Drosophila melanogaster: one gene and its partners. The protein of the gene in region 1 interacts with the protein of each later gene in a pairwise test. Each region holds a gene or a part of one and is shown in the gene's direction. Other genes may lie near its edges.

The links.
Region 2: the proteins of Sobp (region 1) and rdo interact in a two-hybrid assay, tested with the Drosophila melanogaster proteins (one large-scale study listed by BioGRID).
Region 3: the proteins of Sobp (region 1) and Ser8 interact in a two-hybrid assay, tested with the Drosophila melanogaster proteins (one large-scale study listed by BioGRID).

Annotation. Positions count from the first base shown.
Region 1 is NT_033778.4:11,836,721-11,841,601, reverse strand, and holds the start of Sobp (sine oculis-binding protein), read left to right. Parts: upstream 1-1,776; 5' UTR 1,777-2,248; coding exon 2,249-2,330; intron 2,331-3,563; coding exon 3,564-3,706; intron 3,707-4,881.
Region 2 is NT_033779.5:18,010,406-18,015,527, forward strand, and holds the start of rdo (reduced ocelli), read left to right. Parts: upstream 1-1,974; 5' UTR 1,975-2,627; intron 2,628-5,122. Other genes in the region: elfless, read right to left, coding at 92-460, 529-606, 673-801, 858-971.
Region 3 is NT_033778.4:13,432,289-13,435,606, forward strand, and holds Ser8 (Ser8), read left to right. Parts: upstream 1-1,918; 5' UTR 1,919-1,923; coding exon 1,924-2,706; 3' UTR 2,707-2,757; downstream 2,758-3,318. Other genes in the region: CG30065 (uncharacterized protein), read left to right, coding at 849-1,052, 1,113-1,160.

The DNA of each region.
Region 1 (4,881 bases):
TAACAAAAACAGCTGATGATAGTCAGATGTTAGAATTATAGAGAAGGACCGATTATTATTAAGCTTATACTGAACAATCGATATATTGATAGGCTTATACAAATGCGCTAAAATTTAAAATTCGAAAATTTAATAAAAATAAATAATAATTTATATACGTATAATCGAAGACTTTTTTATAGTGTCTGAACTTAATTTGTATATTCTTAAAAATAACTTTACCTTTCATTATTATAGTTTACTAACTTTCAATTAGTTTAATTGGTTTTCCTACATGAAATTAATGTTGTTTGTAGTACAATTCACCTGTTATTAAAGTGATCAATTATTATAGGGCAAAGGAAAACAATTTGTAGCGAAAGCCAACAGCAATTTATGTTAAAATCTCATTTCATCAACCGCCACTAATGAGTCAGTCGCAGAAATAAACTAAATTGTTGTAATGTCCTAACAAACTTATGTTTTTGCGCATTGATGCGGCGTGGGAACGAACGAAGTGACATCCAACACTAAATTTATCTGGCTCGTGTTCAAATCAAATTAAATTCTCGGCATTAAATGCCACATTTATCTACATGAGCACATTGTTTGATTGGCACGCCAGCTGCTCTGCCCCTGTTTCTTCTCTGATTGTGATGTTCTACTTAAACGATTCAATTGTTTCTTCGACCATTCCGTTTATTTACCATCAGGTACCAGACTCGCCAAGGGATTGGTACTATCTCCTGATAGTTGGTACTTGGCGTCGGCTAGTGGTAAGTTCTCCCCCAAGTACCGGGTTTCTTGATAGAATTGCCAACTGTTTTCCAAGCCAAGTGCCATGGTCACGTCTAGTGACCAATAACTCTGCTGGCCAGCAGTTGGGCCCTATGGAGAATGTGAATCAACCAGGTTAGATATTATATCTAATATATATTTCAGTGTTATTAGAAGTAGAGTCAAACCGTCTGTTTTTACGCGGAGAATATTTATATAAAAAAAACCATAAAAACTTAAAAAGATATTGTAAGTTAGAAATATTTTTAAAGTATCTTTAAGTTTACAATATATCTTAAAGTTTAAAGTTTACACTTTAAATTAGGTGGAAATATCCTACAAATTATACTTTACGTATTTCATATACTTTGAAATTTATTTAAGTTTAATTTTGGCATAGAATTTAGCCAATCGGATGATCAATATCGATTTAATTTATCCTCGGCACGCCATTTTCGACCTTTCTGGCTGTCAAAATGCATTTTCTCCTCGCGTTACTTAAGATGCTCCCCATTAATTTCCCACAGCCGTTTCTCTGATCTCTGACCAAGTGCGTTTGTCTCCGCCGGCGCACAAGTATTTTGTGCAAATTAAACAAAAATTGAACATAACATAAATATCCGATGCAGAACAAAACGAAGGCAGGTGAAGCGGTGAGATTTATTTTTAACTGCCCAATGCGCCTACATATAGCAAATTATGCAAAAGAATCTCGCGCTGCAGCCGAGTGCAATTTCGTTTTCGTTTTCATCTGCCAGAGATGCCAGCGTCTGCGCCGCTCTCTTGAGTCATTGCACTGCGAGAAAATACGCGTAAGTTATTGAAACTTTTTTGGGTAAGGAAAGATCATCAATTTGATATTGCATTTTTTTTAAAGTATATTTGTTAATTGAAAATAAGATAAATATGACACGCTGTTTAATTAAACTTTTCTTAAACCATCAAATCATATTAAAAAACCGTATGAATTCTGAAATTATCACTGCAAAATGAATAAATATTCTACTTCAAATTTTGCTAGCCTGTACAAACTTAGAAAAAACTCGTAGCAGATCTACGGTTATCTAAGTTATTGAAAGTATATAATTTTTCGCTGTGCGGCTGATGTTTTGGTCCCATTGGGGGTGGGCGCTACGTCATCACATCAGACCCACAGCTGCGCCACAACGATGACGAAGGAACGAAGGCAACAACACCGAGCCAGCGAGGCAGCGACTCAGCAGCAGAGAAGCAGCAAAAGCAGCAAAAGCAGCAGAGAAGCAGCAAAAGCAAGTAAAATCCACATGCCACCGGACGGCTGGCTCAAATGTTCATGAAACGCGAACGCGTGTGGACGTGGATGTGCGCGGTACCGCTTCGAAAAAAAAATTTGTGAACGCGAATCGGTATATTCGGTTTGGTCGGATTAAACGGTTGATTCGAAACGAATTCTCGGGCCGTGCATGTGTGAAAGTGAAAACTGAAGAAAGAGGAATGAAAATGAGCACGGTGCATGAGTTTCCTTGACGTTCGTTGCTTCGGAAAATCCATCGCAAGAAAACTGAAAAGAGCGTGCGAAAGCAGAAAGGCCAATTGTGAGTGAGAGCTGAAAAGCACACACGCCAAAAATATAATGTTGAAAATATCTGGCTATTTTTGGAATATATATTTGTTTCTTCCACACGATGCATTGAAAAATTTGTACCTCAAGTGAAGCAATACACAAAAAACCTCGAGAAATGATAATGCTTAAAAAATACGAGATATACGCTTTAACTTGACTTGCATTTTATTTTCGAAAAGCTTTCGAAAGCAAAACAAAGCCATCAGAAAAATAAGAGTACGAAAAAAAGAAGAACGAAATGAATCCAAGGCAAAAGAACAGCCAGAGTGAAATGTTTTTAATGGGCAATCAAAAATAATGAAATCGGGTAGATATATCTGGCAGAACGAGGCAAGAACGCATTTAAGATGAACAATGGAGATACATTTAATGAAATTTAAGGGACTCAATGAGGGATTGAATTCAGATCTATAGCTAAAACATTTCCGGAAATACCCATTGCTCAACTTTGGATACACAAAATATTCCCTTCAGATTCGGAATAGTTTCCTTCTAGGTGCACAGCTGAAAATGAAATATAGTTCTGTTTACATTCTTAAACTAAACTTTAAAGCTATGCAAACTCGTAATGGAAATGTGCTTTGAAATCCCGCCGCTTGAAACCACATCAATATAGCGATATATTTTTTTCTGTGTAACTACATTTTCGTCTTTTCTGTCTGATTTCCTCCGAAAGAACAACAAATACAGGCCACACTATGCATATATCCGCTGTGTTCTTGTTGTGCTGCCTTTATATTTTGTATTTGAATTTGTAGTCTTGTGTCATGCGATAGGTGGTAACGTTTCGTTCCGAACGGGGTATTGAATTACAAGACACCAAAGTGCGCGCCAAGCGAACACGCTCGCTCACAGATACTCACACACACGCACACACACGATAAACACACATGCAGAGCGAGGTGTATAAATATATCGCAGTCCGATTCTGCCGCATGCGTATCCAATGGATGCGAATCGGCCTGCAAAGCGGAGGGCACAAGGAAATATCCGAAAAAGAACTATGAATCGCTGTAATTAATTGTTTTGGGGGCAGAGCAGTTGGATCCATTGATTGATGGAGCCAAAGTTCATTTGTTTACAGTGGCAAGATCAATGACTCGGCGCCCTATTAATATGTACATCCCCCTCAAAAAAAAAAAAAGAAAACCAAAAAAGTATCTGGCTGGCTCCACTCTGACCCCTGGTCTCTCTTGTGTTCCAGTTTCACCCGAAAGTTATATACCGCATCCAGTTGAAATGTCCGCCAAGACGTCGCCATCGTCCACTTCTCGGGATGCCAACGTGGGATCCTCGAGTGCGATTCCCGTTCAGATCAAAAAAGAACTGCCCAGCGATGAGATAAAGGTGAGTGAATGTATGAATGAACACTTTGAGATACTTTCTTGCCGTCTAATTAATTGCCCCTGTCTGCGCATTATTTCGCCGCGTATTCAATAACAAGGATGCTGACAAAGTTTGCGTTGGATTTAAAAATAAGAACGTTCTTCTTTGCTCTTGGCAAAACATTTGGCTTCTATAGCTGCGAGCTGCATATACGCAGAATAATTATTATTTGTTTGTTTCCGAGTGTTTGGATGGGGGAAAGGTGAATAACACCCACTCGCCAGTTGCGCGTCTATATCTTGGAGTCTATATCTTAGAGTGGCTTTGAAGTGGATCTCGTATCTCGTAGTTGCCATGGAAATATCTATAAAAATGTGTGCTCATGATATACGTAACTACCTTTGCCGCAGAACACATATTTCCATTTCATCCTTAGCGAACGCAAAAATATTTAGTAAACTGCATGTTGCTCATACATAGTTTCCACTTACAAGCTCGAATCCAGCGATTCCAGCCAAAGAGCACTTCCAACTAAGCGCTGAAATCAAAGAATCCGACTCCAAATCCCTCGGCCAGAGAACCAAAAATCGTTTCGGCTTTCAGTTCAGCGCAGTTCAGTGCAGTTCAGTTCGTCTCAGTTGACTGTTGGGCTATTTGGAAATGTTTATGCAAGAGCCAATGATAATGCAACGCCCCGCTACCGCCCCCGCTCAAAAGTGCTACATTAAATTCCATGCAACTTTGTATCTGAATCCGCGTCCGGAATTTGAAAGAGGAGTTGCTAGCGGTCGCTGCAGCTGAGGAGACTCGGATTCAGATTCAGATTCGGATTCGGATTCCGATTGCCATTGTGATTACGCGATTACGGGACGAGCTCGTAAGTCGAGCGGGAGTTGGCGGTAATTTTATATTGATAAGTTTTTATAATCATTTTAACGAGTGAGCGGGTCCGATTCCGATTCGGAATCCATCCGCTCCTCTCTGTCCGCAGTCCCTTACGCTTCTGCTCCATCCGGCAAATGAGCGAAATTAATTTAATGCCACAGACAGGGACAGAGAGTCGCAGAGCAACATTTTTGCAGCACGTGTAACCCGATCGGCGAATGGAAATCATACCCCCCGACTTGCAGTTGGGCGCAATGATACTTATTGTCGGTCATGAGGGGGGAGGGAAACCAACAGCAAACACAAAAACA
Region 2 (5,122 bases), on another chromosome or scaffold:
ACGGTCTTTCGAAAGTATATGCCACAAGTCTATTTGTGGTATTTAAAACCGTGGTATTTTTAGTTTAGTATGCTTTCTGCCATATCACGTCTTACAAGAAAATACGATGGAATTCGGGCTCATCCACTCCGCACAATGGGCATACCCTGCCAGTGTCGACAGCTCTCTTAATGCACGCTTTGCAGAAAACGTGGCCACAATTGGTGGACACTGGTAGCTTCTCGCGGACATCTTCCAGGCACACAGGGCAGTTGTAGGGCAAGACAGATTTCTTGGACTCCTCGTCATCTGATTTGATCCGTTTGTTGGGAGGAGAATCCTCGTTTGAATCTGAGGATTCTGTATGTCCCATTGGTGTTGATGATTCGGTGGAGCTCATACTGCTATCGAAGCTAATGCTGGTCGATGAGCTTTCACTATCACTGGAACTAGACGACTCTGAGTCGCTGGAATACTCCAACTGCACAACAAAGTTAAAGCTATTAAAACCTATGGATTCCGGATCGAGATGAACGAACAAGAACTTACCAGGAATGGGGTTCTGTCGATAGATCTGCTGCTGCTTGAGGAGTCCGAGTCTCCGTAATACTCATTTGGATTCCGCTCCTATTAAATGATGTTGTAATGTAACCAATGGATTCTGGGTGGGACCTGGCTAGAACAATAACTTACAGAGGAACCGCTGAGTAAGCGGGATCTTAATCCGGAGGGCGCGAGTACGGGAGTGGGCCCGGTGTTATGGATTCGCTGTGATACTCCAGAATTATTCGAGGTCCTGAAGTTTTCCATTTGAAGTCCCACCTATTCCATAAAGTGTATTATCAATAGATTTCAGAGCTGGGTGAACATGAACTTACCAGGTAACTGAGGCGAGAGCTCAAATGTGAACGGTTTCTGGAAAAGGGTAAGGAAATAACCCTAGTGTTCTGCTCCCATTCAGTAGAAGAGTCTGAGTCGCTGGAATCACCCATTTGAAATCGCACCTGTTTTTGCAGTTTTAATACTACCAATGAATTCTGCCTTGGAACTTACAACTTTTTACAAATTCAGTTGAACCCGTTTCCTTGCTTTTTATTTGCAAATTTACAAGAAAGCTGTTTGAACATATGTCAAAAAATCTTGAAAGTTCCAGGACACAATACCAGTATTTTAAGTGCCAAAGGTCACACTGCGATAAAAAGTACCATTTCAACGCGCCAACAATCATTGTCCGATTTCCATGATTTCCAAATTGGATATTTGCTTAGGATTGTCACCCTAAGAAGTACTATTTATACCAGGTACTCGTGGAGTAAAAGGGTACACTAGATTCGTTGAAACAAATAGAAGGAATTTCCATTTAATTAAGATACAAAACCGAGTAGATCTGGCTATGTTCGCCTGTCTTGCCGGCCGTATGAAAGAATCATAGGAACTATAAAAGCAAGAAGGTTGTGATTAAGCGGACAGATTCTAGAGACATAGACGCAGCACAGATTTTTTGGCCCTGTTGCCACGCCCACTCTAACGACAAACCGCCCAAATCAAATTTGTTTATAATTTTATTAGTCTTGTTAATTCTTATCGATTAGACACAAAACTTTTTGCCATGCCCACTCTAACGCCCAGACTTTAGAACAATTTTTAAATGTTTTCACATTCATCGATATCCCAGAAAAATGATCGAATTTCGCGTTCGTATTCCCACTAGCTGAGTAAGGGGCATCTAAAAGTTAGGGAACTCGACTATAGCATTCTCTCATGTTTGTATCTTAAATGGTTAACATAAAATTAAAAAATATGCTAACAGAAGTAACTCCCTACAACGAAAGAAATTCAAAGATCGAAAGTCCGGACTCAACAACATAGAATTCCCGAAGTCACACACGAACTTGCAACATGTTGCAAGTGCCGCTCGGACTGTCTCGAGCCGTTGGAAGCTCCAGCCGCGTTCTCGACTTCCGATTTAACTTTCAGCGCGCTTTCGGCCGACTTCAGTGTACGTTTGGCTCGCGCAGAGTGCGGATTGCAGTTCGATTCGGCTTAATCAGCCCAGTGATTTTAGCGTATTTCATCCGTAGGATTGCTCTGCCGCAGATCTGGCCGATAAGACTTGGCAACACATCAGGACCCAATCCTGGAGGCCCTAACCGTAATTAAATTATCGGGCGAGTTAATTGGCAGCCCGAGAGTTGCGAAAGTCGTAATGACGGTGCCATTCATCTGGCATTTAGCTTGATTCCCGTTCGCCGATCGCTTTGCCGTGCTAAAGTCTGTAATATTTGGTTAGTGCGGGTTGCCAAAAAGTTAAACAGAACAGAAAGTACGGTTCATTTGCTAAATACACGGGACCATTCAAATATCCCGACACAATTTAAGAGTGTGTGTGGGCGTGTGTTTGTGTATGTGCGCTCAGTGAGTGAGATGTGTGGCAAGTTTCATTTATTGGCAGCCAGCAACTGATTTGAATATTCACTCGCACACTCATACCCGAAAGGATCTGCGCTGCCAAAATACTAGACCAGATTGTGGCTCCTGTGTCGCCCGTGCATAAGTGTGTGTGCAGTATGATTTATAGGTCCTGCAGCAGGCGTGATGTAAAGTGACAATTTCTGGTAATTTTCGATTTACATGCCGTTGTGCATTGGGTAAGTTTGACGAAGGATCCCTGGATTTTGTTTACTTTGTTTTTATAACATTACCTGGAATTAATTTTATGCGTAATTTATTGCTGCGAAAAAGAGAAGAAAGAGGTCAAACCTGATTCAGTACCTTCCATAATAATAACTTTATAATATATCATTTGATAATAAATTTCAAACTGTTATTTTTGGGAAGAAAAGGGTTGGATGGGGCAGACTTATTATATTTATTTTTAAATTTCCACGTGTCATGTTAAAAAACTATGGATGGAAAACCATATTTATTTGCTCAAAATGAATAAATTTACCTTATCTTATCCTTGTCTATTTTTTTTTTGTATTTAATTTCCATATTTAAAGTTATAAAAATATGATCTAAATGTTAATAAATATGAATTTACATGATTCTATACAGTTCTACCAAAGTACAACTACCAAAAGCATTTTATAAATCGATTGAAAAACGTTCCCATTGGCCACGCATATTGTTGTTTATCTTTATATTTCCAAGGCACACGAGTAGTTACCTCTGAGCTAAGATTGATTTACACCTGCTCGGATGTCTTGCCAATCAGAAACCGCAAGACAAACACTACCTGCGCACTCGCGAACATATCAGATCGCGTATACTTCCGCTCTTAGAGGGTTTCGCTTAAAACGGTTTCCGCGAAAAAATTAACTTTCCTAGAATCTGAAAATACGTCCCTGAATAGCTGAGTAGAATAAATCAATGAGTAATTACAGAAGTGTTATTGATTTTGGGCTCCTTTCTCTCGAGCATAAATTAGAGCCAATAAATATCGCGACATTAGGGAAATTTTATCGGTTTCGGATGGCCGAAGATTATATTAATGGGTGCCATTAATATTTAATCCTCGACAACAGGTTTCACCAGCGTTAAGGACACAGAGAACGCCAAAGAAATAAAACCATCCATCCCATTATTTGGCAGAAGGAGAATTGGAAACTTTTGCAAACAGCACCTGTGTCTAAGGAATTTTTAATAAAATCTCCTGAAAAAGTGGTAAACTCAACAAAGCCATTCGTCATGCTCAAGTAACTTGGGTTTTAGACTTTTGGGGTTTTTCCCTTTCGCATGCTTTTTCTTGCTGGTCAGCGAACCAGTTTGGCATCATAATTATGCAACCAGGCATGCAGCTGAGGACACTGTCGGCTGCCAAAGGGTTGAAAGGAACCCTTTCTTTCTTTATACATTTAAATTTGGGTCACTTACGGCCGAAGCAAATTGTAATTAAAATATGAATTTTCCATGCAGCCATATAACAATTCACTTTTAATTTTAATCATTAAATCCCAAAAAAAAAAAAAAAACACTTTTATTTTGAACAAAGCGCAACTCTTTTTTCACTTTTGCGACGGCCTTGACGGACTTAAAGAGTCCTGACTGTGGAAAATAATCATCATCAGCCGCAGGATTTCAAACCACCATCATTATCGTCTGCTGGTCTGGTTTGCATAATTTCATACATAAACTGTCGCTTTTTGTGCGCATAATCTGCAGCTTTTAAACAAAAAAAAAAAAAAAATAGGCAAAAAATATTAAATAAAACGCAGTGTCGGCGGAAAGGTGTCATATACTCCAAAAATTGGGTGTTCTAAATGTTCGAGAAATGAAGCGCTGAAAAGTTGGTCGCGTTACGCATCCGCCATGTTGCGCGGCGCCAAGTGGTGAGGATTACGCCGGGGTTCCCATATACTTAATGACATGCAGCTGCTGTTTTACTTGCGGTTTCTCCCTGGAGCCCCCAGGAACCTTTAGTAAATTTTGCTGTCTTGTCCCCCTCCGGACTAACTTATGAATTTTAAGGTGATTTCCATGTCGCAGGACCAAGTTCAGGAAACTTTGGATTGGGGGTCCTTTGGGAATATGGGATGAGTGCCACGTCACATCGGGGACTTGTCAGCAAAGGGTTGATCGCATCATAAATCAAACGAACTGTTAGCCCAGTTCGCAATCAAAATCATTCTGCGGTCTGCAGCATTTGTTCCTCAGAATGTGGTAATTAATCATCGAAAGTAATTGGTTTTCTGTTTTGATTTGACATTTGAAAAATTGCAGCTGTGACAATTCAATCCCAGTTCCAGTTTATTTGCCTAGCGCCATTTACTTCGCTGGTTTTTCAGTGCAAAATGCTGCAAAATAAACGCAAAAGTTTATTATACTTTGGTTTTTGCCGAAGTGAAATGGTGACCTATGCAAATTTATGAATGCAAATTAAATATAAACGAACGCATAAATGCGGCTTAAAAATATTGCCACGCAATATTGGCAAACAATGGGATTAACTGGACAAAAAATGGTAGGGAGTGTCCTTGAAGTCCATGTTTTTTAGCACGGGTATTCATAGGCTAAATTGCCAATATGGCCGCAACTCTGGCTTTAACGGAATTATGTCGCTAATTTAATGATGGCAAATGTATTGTTTTGTCGTTGGCCCCACTGAGATTGGTTTATGGGCGCAACCGTTTATACAACTTTG
Region 3 (3,318 bases), 1.6 Mb from region 1:
GACGGCTGCTAATGTTATCTCATGCCGTGCATGCTAGGACAGTGAGTATCCTGCGATGATGTCACATAAAGCCGACAAGGATGATCTAACGTGGTCTATTTCTCGCAAGGCGGCTGAGTGAAATGTCAATTCAATTTACCATCAAGGATGATTGAATTTCCCGTCCCTTTAGCCGACCAACTTCTCCGCGTGTGAGGTATCTTAATTTGCTTTGGCAATCAAGCTAAACGGTTTATTGAACGATCTTATCTTCGCAACGAGTTGAAAATGCTTTTAGACAATATAATGGCAAACAGAGAACATCCTAATTTATTGGTTCAACGCCCCATTTTGTATATACTTTTATGACACTAGATTTTGGGCGTTTGCGGAATCAAGTGTCAGGATGGCCGAGCGGTCTAAGGCGCCAGACTCAAGATTGAAAATCTTACTTTCTGAACGAAAGTGTTTGTGAATGAGCGTTCTGGTCCTCTTTGAGGGCGTGGGTTCGAATCCCACTTCTGACAAATATTTTTTTAAGCCCACAGAAATTAGCAATGATTTGACAAACAATGCAAAATTAATAAATAATCAAATATATATTTGCGTATACTTTTGAAAGATCTCTCTTTTGGGTTCACCTATATAAATACGTGACCAATAAATAAAATGGTAACAAATACATTTGCCATTGTATTAAATTAATATATAAATTCGTGACATATTTTTAGCAGGAAAACGAAAAACGAAAAACGAAAACTATCGTAGTAGCATTGAAACATATAGTGTCAAATTTAGTTCTTATCAATCCCTGAATCCAGATTTCAGTCAGGTTAAAAAAGTTGTATATTTTTATATCAATATAAGCCATGTCGGAAGAGCAGCCATCGAGCTCGTTGCTCAAGCCCATTCTAATCATGAAGGATATCGAATTGGACGGAGCAGGTGATGGCATCGGTAAGGAGTCCTCGAAGACAAAGAAGCATGTAACCTTCAACCGGATGGTGGAGTATTATACCTACTCGGAAACTTTGACCAGCTGGAAGAGGCGCCTTATGTCCGACAACGACTTGGTAGGTACTGAAACACCACAGACATGAATTCCCCATTGATACGGTCTGTGGGCTTTTCAGCGCCAGAGCATGCCGACCGAGTCGAAAACTTGCTTTACAAAGCACTAGGCCAATTTATGACTCCGGCCCACCCACATTGCCCATATTGAAGAACCAATACTGAACAGGAACGAAACGCTGGCGGAAGTTGTTAAACTGAACGTGACACTTTTAACCTAATTGGCAAATAAACGAGAGCCCGAGTCCTGCCAGCGAAGCGGATGTGGACTTGTCCGTTGTTTTTAATGCATTTTCCGTGTCCTGCGATGGGGAACGAAGTCGAGCAAATGACCAATGAGTTATTCATGATTTGTACCTACATTTCTATATTTTTTGTTCGTATATTAAAAGCATAAGCTAGTGCAGAGTGGTTACGTCTATTTTGGCCTTCATGCTCATTCAAAGCACGTAAGTGGTCATGCAATTTACAACGCTTTTTGCGCACCGAACGGAAGAAGTAATCTGTATTTGAAATATTTACAATTGGTAAGGCCCAGTCAATAGCTGGAGAGAACAGAGAATGGATTATAGCCAGATTAAGACGTCAAAACAAGCATTCCTACGATAAGTCTAAGCCCAGCAACTGACCTATCCCACCTATCTCACGGCTAACTAATCAATAACCAGTCGGTAATTAAAAGCACCCATATTCTCCTGCCAGCACCTGGAGACAATTGCCGGATGATGGGCCTTTTGGGTAATCAGCGATTGATACGAATGAAATATGGCCGTGTCATTTGACAACCTTATCCGCACGCGGGCAATGCCCAATCTGTGGCTATAAAAGGCCACCCATCGCAGTTAGTTAGCCATCCAAGGTTGAACCGCAAACATGTCCCTACTAATAGCAACTTTCTTAGCCCTGCTGGCCCTCACGAATGGCGCAGTCATTCCCATTGGCCTGGAACCACAAACATCATCGCTAGGTGGCCGGATTGTTGGAGGCACAGCCTCTTCCATTGAGGATCGTCCCTGGCAGGTTTCTCTGCAGCGTTCCGGAAGTCATTTCTGCGGTGGATCCATCATCAGCAACAACATCATCGTGACCGCCGCCCATTGCCTGGACACTCCGACCACGGTCTCCAATCTCCGGATAAGGGCTGGCTCCAATAAGCGAACCTATGGTGGCGTTCTCGTCGAGGTGGCTGCCATCAAGGCACATGAGGCATACAACTCCAACAGCAAGATTAACGACATTGGAGTGGTGCGTCTGAAGACTAAGCTGACCTTTGGCTCGACCATCAAGGCCATTACGATGGCCAGTGCGACGCCGGCTCACGGATCAGCAGCTAGCATCTCAGGCTGGGGCAAGACCTCCACCGATGGCCCCTCGTCAGCGACGCTGCTCTTTGTGGACACGAGAATTGTGGGCCGTTCGCAGTGTGGCAGTTCCACTTACGGATATGGTTCCTTCATCAAAGCAACCATGATCTGTGCAGCGGCGACGAACAAGGATGCATGCCAGGGTGATTCTGGTGGACCTCTGGTATCCGGAGGCCAACTGGTGGGCGTCGTCTCCTGGGGACGAGATTGCGCCGTCGCCAATTATCCCGGCGTGTATGCCAACATTGCCGAACTGAGAGATTGGGTCCTTCAGGCCCAGAAGACTGTCTAGCTTTAGTTAAGCACAATAAAATCGCACTCATAGTACGTATAGTTAAACTGCAGCTGGCAGGGCTTTTATTTCAACTGCTGCTTCCGCTCATTTACTGCTCAACAGCAGTGACTTCTGAATCCAGTCCCCAGAGCCATACATGCGGCAGCAGGACGTGCCCTTCCTGTGGGCCACGCCGCTCGTTTGGCTCATGCAATCTGGGTCAGTCCACAGGGGTTGGCTGCCGGGTGGGGCCTTCAATTCTGGCGGGGCACAGGGGCGGCAAGCCCATGGTAAGCCAGTTACAGCGTTTGCATACTAAAGTCGGGTGACATATCTGTGACATGGCTGCGAATGACATGTAAAATCTCTGTCTATTCCATTTACACGCTTTTGTATTACTAAAAATTAAAGTTATGTATGCCATTTATTTAAATATTCAAATTTTTTTAGTTCATTTGCTGGAACATTTTTTTTTTGCTAATGGTTTAACTTCCTCACTGATAGTTTAGTTTGAAATTCCTTTGAGTTCCCGTTTATGCACTGCATGTGCACTTAAAATTTGCTATCTCTATTGTTTCTAATCGGTTTAAGCGTTTTACAACTTTTGATTGTCGTCATTTAAATAACCAA